2 linked regions of the Oryza sativa Japonica Group genome follow. The protein of the gene in region 1 interacts with the protein of each later gene in a pairwise test. Links are inferred from orthologs where the notes say so. Each region holds a gene or a part of one and is shown in the gene's direction. Other genes may lie near its edges.

What was found.
Region 2: the proteins of probable esterase D14L (region 1) and endoglucanase 13 precursor interact in binary tests that used the Arabidopsis thaliana proteins (3 or more experiments, as listed by UniProt). The link is inferred for Oryza sativa Japonica Group from reciprocal best matches to the Arabidopsis thaliana genes KAI2 and GH9C1.

What each region holds. Positions count from the first base shown.
Region 1 is NC_089037.1:18,909,238-18,916,655, reverse strand, and holds the start of probable esterase D14L, read left to right. Parts: upstream 1-2,899; 5' UTR 2,900-3,051; coding exon 3,052-3,422; intron 3,423-7,418.
Region 2 is NC_089038.1:34,970,088-34,977,492, reverse strand, and holds endoglucanase 13 precursor, read left to right. Parts: upstream 1-3,066; 5' UTR 3,067-3,298; coding exon 3,299-3,535; intron 3,536-3,793; coding exon 3,794-4,006; intron 4,007-4,094; coding exon 4,095-4,295; intron 4,296-4,978; coding exon 4,979-5,363; intron 5,364-5,816; coding exon 5,817-6,359; intron 6,360-6,441; coding exon 6,442-6,740; 3' UTR 6,741-7,048; downstream 7,049-7,405.

The sequences.
Region 1 (7,418 bases):
TCCATAATTCTTACGTTTTGAATAAGATTGAGATCAAATTTTTTAACTTCGATTATCAATAACTTTAAAAGTATTTAGTTTAAAAATAACTAGAACAACACATATGGATTTGTCTTTCAAAGTTCTAAAATAAAAGTAAACATATATTTATTTATTGTACTAGAAAAAAAGCCTGTGCGTTGCAACGGGTAAAAATATTTTTGGATTGCTATACATTATGCTATTTGGTTTTGGGTCAAAAACACATTTTCTTTCTTCCTTTTCAGTCTCGGGCTAGCCCGCTACCTCCCTCTGCTTAGCTTGCTTCTCTTTAAGCTAGCCCACAAGTAGAACTATAGGCCTAGCTCGTATAGTCGACTTCCATCATCAACCTCCAAAATACAGTCCCGTGTAGTACGATGCCAGAACCGATCCTCCCATCAAATCCGGTTAAATCTTTCTCGATGTCTCACAATCGGAAGACAATCCCGTGTAGTACGATGCCAAAACCGATTCTCCCATCAAATCTGGTCAAATCTTTCTCGATCTCTCAAAATTGGTTGAGGGCTTTTGTTCACTCAATCTCCTCTTTTCATTTTTATCAAAATTAGAGCAAATCTATAAAACTGTGGGATATAAACGGTGACTTCTAAATAGAGATTGATGATGGAGTAGTGGAGAATTGATTTTTACAATAAATTGGAGGAGGAAAAGCATGAGGAGGATGATCGATGTGGCGGTGGTACTAGGGTTCGGCCCTACAACAGAAAAAACCGAGTAGATAAAAAAAAGAATTCTAACCATGTGCGCACACCCTTCCGTGTGCAAAAAAATACGAATAAAAAATAGGGATAAAAAATGAATATAAAAGGGAAAAATGCGATGGCAAAATAACCGGAAAGAACGGAAAAAAAGAAGGATGGAAAAAGACGGACAAAAAAGCAGATGGAAAAAAAGAAAAGCAGAAAAAAAAGGAAAAAGGAGGATAAAAGAGGACAGATACCAATCGGTTTTTCCACATGACTCTTTTTATTTTTTTTACAGTCGTCGATTTTTTTTTTACGGTCCGCTTTTTTGTTTTTACCTAGCATTTTTGCCTATTTTTTCCGTTCCGGTATGAATCAGACTTATTTCACTGTTTTTCTTTCGCATTTTTATGGGCGTTTTCTTTTTTCGTGTGATTTTTTCACCCTTTTTTAAATTACGGATTTTGAGGATTAGAGATTGAAACCAAAACAAGAAATTAAAACTGACTCAAACACGGATGACTAATCAAAGTACGGGTAAAAACATCTTCAATTTTTATAATAGTAGATATAGAGATCTTACAAAAGTACCAACAAAAATATTTTCAATTTTTATAATAATAGAGATAGAGATAGAAATATACATATAGATATAGGAGTTTATTTGTCCTTGAGATGTTTTTTAGACACTGAAAGCGGATACGCTTGTAGCTGTTTGGTGTAAATATATTGGAATTATCAAGGGCCTGGGCCTGAATGCAAAGCGACATAGGCCTGGATAAAAGCGAACCTGGACATCTCAACAATATAGGAAAGGAATACGGACACTACGTAGGGTAGTAAAGGAATCTAACGAAAATACGTACGCACCTGCGGAAAAAATCGTGCGCGAGGGTGAAAAAAAATCGGACAAGCGACGTATGAAATCCCTAGGCAAAAACATTTTAAATTTTTATAATAGGTAAAGATATATTATAATAAAAAAACAAGGTGAAAGATATTTTTAAAGACCATGTCAGTGTTTAAAATGTCAAGAATTATGAAATCGAAGGGAGTATCAAAGTAGGATATTTTTTATAACATCATCCTCTTAATCATAGCTTCGTTTGTTTCAATGATAAAGAAGATATACTCTCATTTTTCAAGCACACGCTTACTAAACGGCTAAACAGCATGTGCATTTTTAAAAATAAGTTATAACAAAGTTGCTTTAAAAACATATTAATCTATTTTTAAGTTTAAATAATTAATACTCAATTAATTATGCTCTAATATCTCGCCTCATGTTACGTATCTTCTTAATCTTTCTTTCCTCTTCTCTCAAATACACCGTAAAGCCGGAGCGGTGTCCAGTATCCCGAACCCTCTGGCCGTCCACTGTTCCTCGCCGGTGCACTGGCTGACGTCGCCATCTCCTCCCCCGACATCGCAGCATCGCTCTCCACTCCGGCCGCTCCTCGGTTTCGTCCGAAATATATATTCCAAGAAATGATTGTAAAAGTAAAATCTAGCCTACGTATTGCAAGATTTGATGCAATAGTTAATACTCCACAAACTAACAATAAATCTCAGTTTGTTCTGAAAACACAAATTAACTTATGAAAGTTCACCACAGAATTTCTTCCATAAAAATTTATTTATGGTAAAAGGCATACTAGTAATTGCCATACCCCTCTGTTCTAATTAGAACCGGCACTAATCAAATCCAAATTCTGACCTTAAAAAATTATAAATACTTTATATTATATTATCGCAGTAGGTTGTAGAGTCATAAGTACAACAATAAAACTTTAATTCATTATATAATTTAAACGTAATTTGTGGTCACAGTGTCAATTATTCGATGGGTGGGAATATTTATTTAACATTTGATAAACAAATAAATTAATTAATAAATACTCTCATGGGTTAAGCTTGCAGTTGGATATACGATTTCAATATACTCGTGGAGGGCACATGCGGTAGATATTACGGACTCGCGACCCTCATTAATAACAGAGAGAAATATGGTTACTTAAAAGTTCAGCCCCACCCTCATCGAGGAGCTAGTATGGACCCACCGTTTAGCGACAGGCGAGGGTGGAACCCCGCGTGGCGAGAGCGTTGCGGTTGGCAGATTCCGGTCCACACCAACGCCCCCCGCCCTTAAAACCCCCACCACCCGATTTCCCACTAGCCAAGGCAGCCAGCCGCCCGGCCTCCCGCCGCCTCTGCTGTCTCAGTCCCGAGTCGCGAGTCGCAACGCCACCACGAGGAGCCGAGGAGGAGGAGGAGGAGGAAGAAGAGGTGTTGTCCGGGCGTGAGGAGGATCGGAGGAAGGGAAGCTATGGGGATCGTGGAGGAGGCGCACAACCTGCGGGTGGTGGGGGAGGGGAAGCGCGGGGTGATCGTGCTGGCGCACGGGTTCGGGACGGACCAGTCGGTGTGGAAGCACCTGGTGCCGCACCTGGTGGCCGACTACCGCGTGGTGCTCTTCGACACCATGGGGGCGGGGCCGACCAACCCGGACTACTTCGACTTCTCCCGCTACGCCACCCTCGAGGGCTACGCGCTCGACCTCCTCGCCATCCTCCAGGAGCTCCGCGTCGCCTCCTGCATCTACGTCGGCCACTCCGTCTCCGCCGTCATCGGCGCCATCGCCTCCATCTCCCGCCCCGACCTCTTCTCCAAGCTCGTCCTCCTCTCCGCCTCGCCTCGGTACTATTCTATTCTACTACTGCGTCTTCACCAAGCAGCATACGAGTATCTCATACTACTCTTTATTACTCTCCCTTATATGGATTGGGGAATAAATAGGAGTATTGGACTTTAATTTAATTTTGGTGGTGATGAATTCGGCTAAAAACAGCTCCCCGAATGGGTACTAGTACCGAGGTACGTCACGAGGAAATTTTTTGTCGATTTTGGGGGCAGATGGCGGCTTTTGTCTTCATAGAGGAATCAGCTGTCGATTTGCGGGGCTTGTCGTCATGGGGGAAATTGGAGACTCGCAGGGGGAATTGGTTGGACGCTTGGACTAGGATTCCTTATGTAGATGCCTCTCCATCAGCATGGGGCTTATGGCTCGTTTAATTCACTGCAGCCAGGGTGAGAATAGGGGATCTTGCTTCAAAGGGGTGCCTGATTTCTACTGACAAATTAACAACTTTCGTGCTACTGGTAATCTAGGCATCTCCAATTGGTACTTACCCTTGATTTAACTATGGACGGGTGGGGCGTTGGCTGTATAGAACCTCCAAATCTCAAATTAGATAGCTGTATTGTCAAGACAGACAACTTGCAAGGTGTACTGCTGTATGTGATTAGCTACTCCTACTCTACATAATTGAATTCTTTTGCCTCTAGTTTGAGATTGATCTTCTCCGTTATCACTAAAATATACTGAGCTGAAATAATATCAAGATTGAGCTTCACTCAAGAGAAGATAACAAGATTGGCAATACATTCTTGATTGGGTTTTAGAATCAGCTGATTAGAGGAATCAGTTCTAGGCAGGTAATGTACATGCCAGAATGTTTTGCAGCCATTTGTTGCCAAAACAAGACAAGGACTAACACTCTTCAACACTCCAAGGTGTAAAAGAACTGAGAGCTTGCAATTTTTTTTTTTGATAAAGGAAGCTTTTTACTAATCTCAGATGATTACATCAAGTTGATAGAACCATACTAAGAAAACTTCTGGCCTTTGCATAACTAGGATGCACACAGCCAAAACACACACGAGCCCACAAAAGACCTTGTAACAAGAGAAGGAAAGCAGTAAAATTTAGGGAGCACCAATCTTCAGGCTAGACCAAGCTTACAAAGTTAAATTGAAAAGAAAAACACTAGAAACTTGCCAGAAGCTGGATTCGTGGATGATTCCACGATTTGAGTGGAAAATAAGTTTCTGTTCTCATCAAATTTAACCTATTTGATATTTTGAGCAGCAGTTATTGTAACATATTAGTCGGGCCTCACCCATGGGTGATGTGTTTTGGGATTTGTTGATCCCTCCTTTGTAAATATTTATTTCTTCTTACTGAAATGAAGCGCAGTTCTCCTGCGTTTTTGAAAAAAAATAGTAACATACTACTCCCTCCGTCCCAAAATAAGTGTAGTTTTGCACTATTCACGTTCAACGTTTGACCGTTCGTCTTATTTGAAATTTTTTTATGATTAGTATTTTTATTACTATTAGATGATAAAACATGAATAGTACTTTATGTGTGACTAAATATTTTCAAATTTTTCACAAATTTTTCAAATATAAGACAGACGGTCAAACGTTGGGCACGGATATCCACGGCTGCACTTATTTTGGGACGGAGGTAGTACAAAAATACAATACTCCCTCTGTCCCAAAATATAACAACTTTTAGCCCTCAAGATTTGTCCCAAAATATAACAACTTTTCCACCAACATTCTCTTCCTAACCTATCACAACCCTCCACCATTCACTTCTACCTACTTTCTTAATAACCGTGTCCAACTCTAAAACTTCTTATATTTGGGGACGAAGGGAGTATGTTTGAGATAGACTCCTAGTGGATTCTGGTACCATGTAATTAGTACTACTAAATTCCATTCCCTTAGGTGTTTATGCAGATTGAAAACATTAATTCAAGCACGACCACAAATAGTAGAGAGCATCTGGATAGTACCAACCACATATTATCATGCTAATGCCAACAGCCCACTCAACAGCTATGCGATAAAGGGGAAAAAAAGAAAAACAAAAAGCAACAGCTATGCGATAAAGGTGCTGAAACATGGTAGTGCCCTTCGATGTATATATTTGGTGAGATTTGCTATGCTATAGCTTTGCACATTTCTTCGCTTATTATGGTGCAAGTGTCATGTCCCAATTGGTCCTATCTTTCAAACCAAAAGGGGAAAATGACCCTATCTTTCCATTTCTGGATATTTCCTTGCTGGAAACCAACACTGTTCCAAAAGCCATGCCTTGCTGGAGGCCATAACTGAGTTGCTTAAAGTGCAGCGTCGTTATTTGTCACTACCAATATAGCTGCTTTGCATCTTAGTCGGAGCTTCAAAATTCGCCACAGGCTAGGACAATTCTTGTTGTAGTTGTTGGATATATGGTCTTTCCTAGTGTACATGTTATAGGCAGCAGTAAAATGGGGTGGTGTAGTTGAGAAGAGTGCTAAGGGAACTAGGGACTTTGTTTTTATCTCCCTAACAGAAACTGAATCATATTGAACAGTTGGTTTGAAAGTTCATGTATGCTGCCATCATCATTTGCCTGTATCAGCATGGCATGTGTGACTAACGCAGGGAAATATTGTCAAGAGGAATTTTATGTGCTGAACAGTTTTAGCATCTGGAATCATTGTATTGTAATGAAACGAATGAAGAGTGCTTAGGTATGCCCAAGCTTGTTTACGGTTATGACTGAAGTAAATTAGCTTATGCCTAGCACTCTAGCAACAATTTTGGCCACTAATTAACAGAAAGGTAAACATAAAAAAAAAATCTCACAAATATAAGCTCCATATTGGAGAACTGTATAACATAATTGGAGAATGCTCTTAAAACTCTCGATATTGGAGAATTCTCTCATTATGAAATTATATATGAGATTGTATACATAATTCTCATTTTTTTTCGTCATTTCATACCAGTCTAATAAAAAATGTCAAAAACATAGTTGAGGAAAGGTCACTGGGTAGCCTGCTTTTAGTTGGTTGCTTCTGTATGCTCAATGAATCATGTCAGTATTTGAATTTGTATGTGGTGCTGCAACGGATATAAATTCTTTTATAGTTTTAATGACTATCACATAGAAGCAAGTAAATTGAGTAAAAAAACAAAACTTAATGGCCTACGTGGATCATGACACTCTAATCTGGTCAAAATATGAAGCCATCACCCTTTGCCATTAGATTCCATTAATCTCAGACGAGTATAGGATATGTCTTATTCTCAATTTAGGTTTTGCAGCCTACATAGCATTTTACTGTACATTCATTATACAATCTTGAATCTGCTCGCCTAATATCACCAATTCCCTATGCAAGTTTTTCATTAAATGGGTAAGAAATGTGCCTATGTCTTCTTAGGTTTAAATGTTCTAGCGGACGTTTTAACATTAACAGAGCTCTGTGTTAGAAGTTCTCGGGTATAAATTAGATCAGTAAGTACGGGCATCACATGTTATAACTTATAAGTCTAGTGATTATTTTTTATGAAGTCATTTCTTTGTAAATGTACGGGCATCACATCTCACTCTTATTTGTATACATATTATCTGCGGAACTACATTAGATATCAGTGATATTGTGTCATTTGCATCGCTGACGGTGATACTGTTCTGCAGTTCGACTGTCATGCTTTGTTTTCCATTACCAAAGAAATTATAACTTGCACCTGTTGGTCCCTAACTGTTTAGTGAAGTTTGTTTTAGAATCTTGAAAATATGAATCAGGTGCGCAGGCTCTTCATTACTCAAATAAGTCTACTCTTCGTAATGCTTATTTTAATTTCCGCTTGGGCAAATGAGATTGTAGCTTGTCTGGGTAACTGTTGTATTGGTTGATATTCATGCAATAAAATGTGTTTACACTTCACAGTTCCTCCATTAAGTGATGGTATTCCGTTCTGTGTTCCTTCTCTTCTTTTTTTCCTTTTCTGGTCCCGTTCATTCTCTAGTTGAATTACTCTTTCATTGATCCAGTTTTCTCTTGATCAAAC
Region 2 (7,405 bases), on another chromosome or scaffold:
CGAAGGGTTTTTTTTTTTGGTTTTTTGAAAGAGCGACTCGGCCCGTGGGTTTTCGACTTCAGATGCTTGCCCCTTTAAGTAAATCCTTTAAGACTTAGAGCGTTGCTTCTGGGTACCTGCAGATGGGTTCAAGGCCTGTAGTGTATGCTGTTGCTTGCTTGAAATGGGAATTTTTGTCCATGCAGATCGATCCTCCAGGCGGTTTTTATATGCCAGATAGTAGAAGAGTTCTGTAGCTAGGATGGGCTCGTTTGAATGTTCTCAATGTTATTTTCGCGAGGCAATTTTTTTTGCCACCAGGAGGAATGTCGGAATGTAGGACAGTTGAATATATCCCATATGTAGAACAAGAGAAATTTTACTGTCTTTGTGGATACCTAGAGAGATCATTTTTTTTTTATTTTGGTTTCTCTTAATAGCCGAGGTATTGTGGATACCTAGAGAGATCAATTTTTTAATGTAGATTTTGGTATCTCTTAATAGCCGAGGTATTAAGAGAAGAGGTATACCAAGTTTCTTAATAAAAAAAGGATACCTCACTGTACCTGCTAAAGAGTAAAATCACTCAACAACTAATTAAATTTCCGGTTGTTCAAGTTGCAATGGAATCATTGTAGTTTGGAAGCATCGTCAATAGAATCACCATCTTTGTCTAGTTTGAAAGAGTTGCCAATACTCAATAGCATTATCATCTTTTTTTTGCTCCCAAGTAGACTTTGTTTTCGTTAAGAAGAACATCTTCTTAAACTTCTTTATCAAAGAACACATCACCCACCATCTTCTTAAACTTTATCAAAAAGAAAACCACCACCTTGAAGTATGTTTGCTCAATCATATGCAGGACCACTAAACACAAGGCTCAAATTGACGCCATCTGACTAACAACTACTTCCTCCATTCTTTTCTTCAAGAAACTACTCCCTCTATCCTATATTAGTCTCCAAAACTAATCTTTGTTTTATAATTTCTCATATATATAATAAGGTTGTAGTAACAAAATTATAACCATATGAAAATAAATTCAAATATTAATCCAATGATATAATTTTTAGCAAGTAAAATTCAATTTATATTGTACTAAATGATGGTCAAAATGTTTTGAAGGTGGAATCTTAAAATATGTGGACGCCTTATATTATGTGATGGAGAGAGTAACTTCTAATTCTGTATTTGAACATAGTCTATATCTAAATATATAGTTTGAAGTTTTTTTTTTTTTTTTGGTGGGAGGGGGTGTAGTCCATGACCAGTGAAAGATGCATACGTTACAAGGATTACACTGCGACAGAGGTGAGCAGGCGAGTTGGATTGACTGGAGGAAACGACAACGCTTCGTCGTTCTGAGGACGCGCATGCTGGATCTGGGGCGCCGGGCCGCAGTTGATGACGGTGAGAGCGGAGGCGAGGGCGGTGTTGGGTGGCGAGTTTATCGGAGACGACGACGATGAGGCCTCACCATTCCGGCCGATGAGCGTGTTGGGACGGCCCCGCTGCGGAGGAGGTGAGGGGATCGGAGGCTCTGAGAGGCGAGTTTACCGGAGATAACGACGAGGCCGTCCCATTCCGGCGGATGCGCCTGCCGGAGCGACGCCGCGGCGGCTGGGACGGAGAGATCGCCGGGGGAAGAAGAAGAAGAGAGAGGAGGAGTGGCATTAACTGACACCGTTGGATCAAAACCTCATGGCTGCGATCGCGTAAGCACAGGGTGACTTTTGCAAAAGAGCCCTCAGTTTGTTGTTAGTATTTTCTTTAGAGTCCTTGCTCGACATGGATCGCTGCGACGCTGCGCATCGTTAGCGACCGTACGGGCCTGTACGGAAACCGTCGGATCCGAATCAAGCGGTCAGGAACTCAGGATCACCGCGGCCGAGTGGAAACTGTCCGTAGATCGCTATCCTGATGGCTCGTAGTCGTACATACACCGTTGGATTCGAATCTCGCGGCCAGGGTGGTGCGGCTCTACGTCAGCCGCGCCGTCTCCTTCGCCGGAAATCCAGAGCCGCGTAGCTCCGACACCATTGCCACTTCGCTCGAGAGCTGAAAGCTGGCACATCTAGTCGTCGGCTGATCACTCCTGGTGGCAACAACCAAAAGAAGTGATCGATAATTTTATTCTTGGCTGCTGATGAATTCAGTAAATCGGCCTGGCCGGCATGGTAGATCGATGCCGTGCCATGGCGGAGTCGATGTGCAGTTACACTGAATAAAACCAGTGTGCAGTTGTGCATTTGGTCTGCTTAGAGCAGGTGCAATAGCAGGCTATAAGCCAGCTATAAACACATTTCGAAAAAATAAAAAAAGAGAGAGAATGACAGCGGGGCTACAGATTTATAACCAGTTGCAGCACAGACTTCAAGGTGTATGTGTGTATGATAGATGAGACCAAATATTAATTATGTAGTATATATTTATAGGTAACTATTGTATGAGTTGGCTATTAAGTTGATTATAGATGATTTCAAGCCAACAGTTGGCTATAGGACACAACATTTTTCTTTTTCTTTTTTGAAAATGACACATTTTCCTAAGAACATGCACGGAGTTCTGCCTGTCTCAGGAGATAAAGGAAACCGAAACTCATACAGCAGGATTCACAGGAGAGCAAGGAAGGTACTTCGGTTCTGATGCACTGGAGATCGAGTGCAGATGGTGCTGTGAAAGCTCTTGAACAGCAGGAAGGTACAGAGATGTTTGGCTCAGCTCACCTTGAATATATATGCATAATATCTGGGTTGACCTTCCACAAATATCCAGATCAATGGCACAAACGTGATAAAATTGATTGGAAAATCATTTGCAACACAAGATCACGCAGTGTAACTGGAGTGGACTTCATGTCGATCCAAGCCGACACAATTGGTAGTTGACACAATGATCATCAAATTCTCAAAAAAAAAAAAAGACAATGATCATCAGACCCAGGCACCCAGCCTTTCATTTTTTTTCTAATCTTCCCTTAAAACTACAAGCATCCAATCTTCAACTCCATTACCTTAAAAAAAAAACTAATCTTCAACTATTATTATATTACCAATTAAACTATTACACGCTTGAGTTGCAACCATTTCTGCAGTTTCGGCTCCACGACGTGCATGGCTCAAACCCCGCCAAAAGCTCACCTCGTCGTCGTCGTCGTCGTATCTCTCCTCCTCGCTACGTGCGAGGCACATCGCGTGCGCCCACGATGCCACGGCCGCGCGCCACCGTCCTCCACGTCGTCGATCATGGCGACCTTATAAAACTCCTCCGCCGTGCGGGCCTCTCCCTCAATCCAGTATTCCACTACCGAGGTCGAGCAATGGCGGCGACGATGAACAAGACGCCGGCAACCACCTTCCTGCTGATACCGGCGGCGGCGTCGCTGGTTCTCCTCCTCGCGGCGGCCGCGTCGGTGGAGGCGTCGGCGTTCGACTACGCCGGCGCGTTCGACAAGTGCCTCCTGTTCTTCGAGGCGCAGCGCTCCGGCAAGCTCCCCGACGACCGCCTCGTCCGGTGGCGCGGCGACTCCGCCCTCACCGACGGCTTCTCCCAGGGGGTAATACATACATCTCCGCCGCCTCCGGTTCAATCAACCAAATGCTCGATAGTGGTTACAGTCGTTAGAGTAGTACTTTAAAGTCCTGAGTTTAAATCTTTATAGAAGTAAATTTTAGATTGTGTTGTCCACGGGACAAAGTTCTCTATTGCAATGGCCGTGTATATCCAGTTGGATGTAAAAGGCAAGGCCGGGTAAATGCTCGATCGGGTTGAGTAATGCGGCGCGAATTGAATCGAAGGATGGATGAATTTGCAGGTGGATTTGGTGGGCGGGTACTACGACTCCGGCGACCACGTGAAGTTCGGGCTCCCGATGGCGTACGCGGTGACGATGCTGTCGTGGGGGGTGGTCGAGTTCGAGAAGGAGATGGTCGACGGCAACAAGCTCCACCGCGTCCTCGACGCCATCCGCTGGGGCACCAACTACTTCGTCAAGGCCCACACCCAGCACAACGCCCTCTGGGTCCAGGTACGCACGCACTCAAGGCCCATCTCACCAAGAGCCCAACACGGCCCACTAGTGCCCTCAAGAAAAATTTTCTGGATTCTTTGATTAGGTGGGTGACGGCGACAGCGACCACCTGTGCTGGGAGCGCGCCGAGGACATGTCGACGCCGCGCACGGCGTTCAAGATCGACATCAACAACCCCGGGTCGGAGGTCGCCGGCGAGACCGCCGCCGCTCTCGCCGCCGCCGCCAAGGCCTTCAAGCCCTACGACCGCATGTACTCCGACCTCCTCCTCCTCCACTCCAAGCAGGTACAGAGACACATGTGGCTGTGATCTTCGTCCATTTTTCCAACCCACCTTCCTCGTTTTTCGCACGCATGCTTTTCAAACTATTAAACGGTATGATTTATAAAAAAAAAGTGAATTACGTTTTGGGCCACATCTTATTACCTAAGTTTCACTTTAGACCACCTTTAAACATATATTTTTACTTTGGACCGAATAAATTTACTATTGTTGTAATTTGGATTACCACGAACGATTTTTTTTCAGTACAACCAACGAGCTTAAACACATCAACTCTAGTATGCGGCCGAACTCCTCTATATATGGTTCATATGTTTGCCGAAAGGGAAGTTATACATGATGAGAAAAGTTGTTTATGATAGTACAAACCGTAACAGTGGTAAATTTACCCAGTCTAAATTAAAAAGATAGCTTTAAGGGTGGTCCAAATTGAAACTTGGGAAATAAAAGAGGGACCAAAGTGCAATTTAATCTTAAAAAAATATATATTAAAGTTATTTTAAAAAATCATATTAATCCATTTTTTTTAAAAAAATAATTAATAGTTAATTAATTTTATAATAATATAAGCTTTGTTTTGCGGGACGGGAGGAGGGGCTGTCGAACGCAGCCAGCGTATGAGAGCAATCAGCAAATGCAGCAGCAACATTCTGATGAGTTATTTTCTCTTTTTTTTGGGGGGGCAGCTGTTCACGTTCGCGGACACGTTCAGGGGCAAGTACGACGACTCGCTGCAGAGCGCCAAGAAGTTCTACCCGTCGGCGTCCGGCTACCAGGACGAGCTGCTGTGGGCGGCGGCGTGGCTGTACGAGGCGACCGGCGACGAGCAGTACCTCCGCTACGTGTCCCAGAACGCGGAGGCGTTCGGCGGCACCGGCTGGGCCGTCACCGAGTTCTCCTGGGACAACAAGTACGCCGGCCTCCAGGTCCTCCTCTCCAAGGTCCTCTTCGAGCAGGGCGGCAGCGCCGCCGGCTACGCCGACACGCTGAAGCAGTATCAGGCCAAGGCCGAGTTCTTCCTCTGCGCCTGCCTCCAGAAGAACAACGGCCACAACGTCAAGATGACCCCTGGTAATCCATCCCATCCTTGCTAGCTTCTTCTTCTTCCAAGGATGGAAAACTCAAATCATCCTTAAGAAAACATCTCCTCATTTTTGCATGATCATAAAAAAAATTAGTAGGATAGATCACTCTTAATAAATATACAAATTCAAATTCAATTAATACAAATAAAAACAAAAATAATAAATTTGACAATGAATAGAACGTGTAATTTAAGGTTAAATTTGTTATTTTTGTTTTGAATTGTATAAGTTGAATTTTAACTCGCATGTTTACGAAAGATGTCATATATTAATCTATCTTGACAATTTTTTTTTAAAAAAAAATTGATAAAATTTTGAGTGAGATGTATAAAACGAGGGGATGTCCTCCCGAGGGACAAAAATCCACTTCCTCGAAGAATTGGTAATAGATTTTGCAATGTGATTGTTCTGAATTGTGTGGATTGGATTGGTTATCCAGGTGGTCTCATGTACGTGAGCGACTGGAGCAACATGCAGTACGTGAGCTCGTCGGCGTTCCTCCTCACCGTCTACGCCGACTACCTCGCCGAGTCGCGGGGAACGCTCAGGTGCCCGGACGGCGAGGTGAAGCCGGCGGAGATCCTCCGGTTCGCGAGGTCGCAGGTCGACTACGTCCTCGGCAAGAACCCCAAGGGGATGAGCTACATGGTCGGATACGGCAGCTACTACCCGACGCACGTCCACCACCGCGGCGCGTCCATCCCGTCCATCTACGCCATGAACGCCACCGTCGGGTGCATGGAAAGCTTCGACAAGTACTACAACAGCAAGAACGCCGACCCCAACGTCCTCCACGGCGCCCTCGTCGGCGGCCCCGACGCCAACGACGCCTACGACGACGACCGCTGCAACTACCAGCACGCCGAGCCCACCCTCGCCGGCAACGCCCCCATGTCCGGCGTCTTCGCCCGCCTCGCCGCCTCGCCCGCCGATAACACGCCGGAGTACACGCCGGCGCCAAATGCCCCCTCGCCATCAAATGGTAATTAATTAACCAAATCAACAATGCAATCGAACTTGTACCATTGAGATCTCCTCCAAGTGATCGTGCGTTTCTTTGTCAGGTGGGTCGCCGTTGGAGTTCGTGCACACGGTGACGAACACGTGGAAGGCAAACGGCGTGGACTACTACCGGCACGTGGTGACGGCGAAGAACACGTGCGGCCACGCCATCACCTACCTGAAGCTGCAGATCAAGGAGCTCTCCGGGGAGATCTACGGCGTCTCCCGCACGAACGCCAAGGACATGTACGAGTTCCCGTCGTGGATGACACGGCTCGACGCCGGCGCGCAGCTCACCATCGTCTACATCCAGGGCGGCCCCGCCGCCAAGATCGCCGTCGTCGAGTACAAGACGGCCTGAGAATGGCACGACGACGACGACTGATTTCTGCCTTTCCTTTTTTCCATTTTAGTTTTGGTGTGTGGTTGGCTGCTGCTTTTCAGCAAACAGGTGGTGTGCAATCTCGAAGCAACGAGTCTGTGATGTCACCTCTGACCACGACTGCTTTGAGATGTGGACATGCACTGTTTCTTCTGTACTTGGAATGGCATAGGAGATCTCTCAGCTTTTCTTTTAGCTTTCGTGATTTCTCCATTCTTTCCGCTGTGCACGCCTGTGTGTTTTATATGTTCAAATTAAGCAGAAAACTGTGACATGATGTTTTTGCTATTGTGCTTAGGTGGTGTTTGGATCCAGTGACTTAACTTTAGTACTTATATTTAGATACTAATTTAGAGTATTAAATATATACTACTTCCAAAACTAATTACATAAATGAAAGCTAATTTACGAGATAAATTTTTTAAGCATAATTAATCTATAATTAGAGAATGTTTACTGTAGCATCCTAATTATGGATTAATTAGGCTCAATAGATTCGTCTCGCAAATTAGTTCAGAATTATGGATGGGTTTTATTAATAGTCTACGTTTAATATATATAATTAGTGTCCAAACATTCGATGTGATAGAGATTAAGTTTTAAGTTTTAGTCCCATCTAAACAGGGTGCTAGTTTGAGATGAAA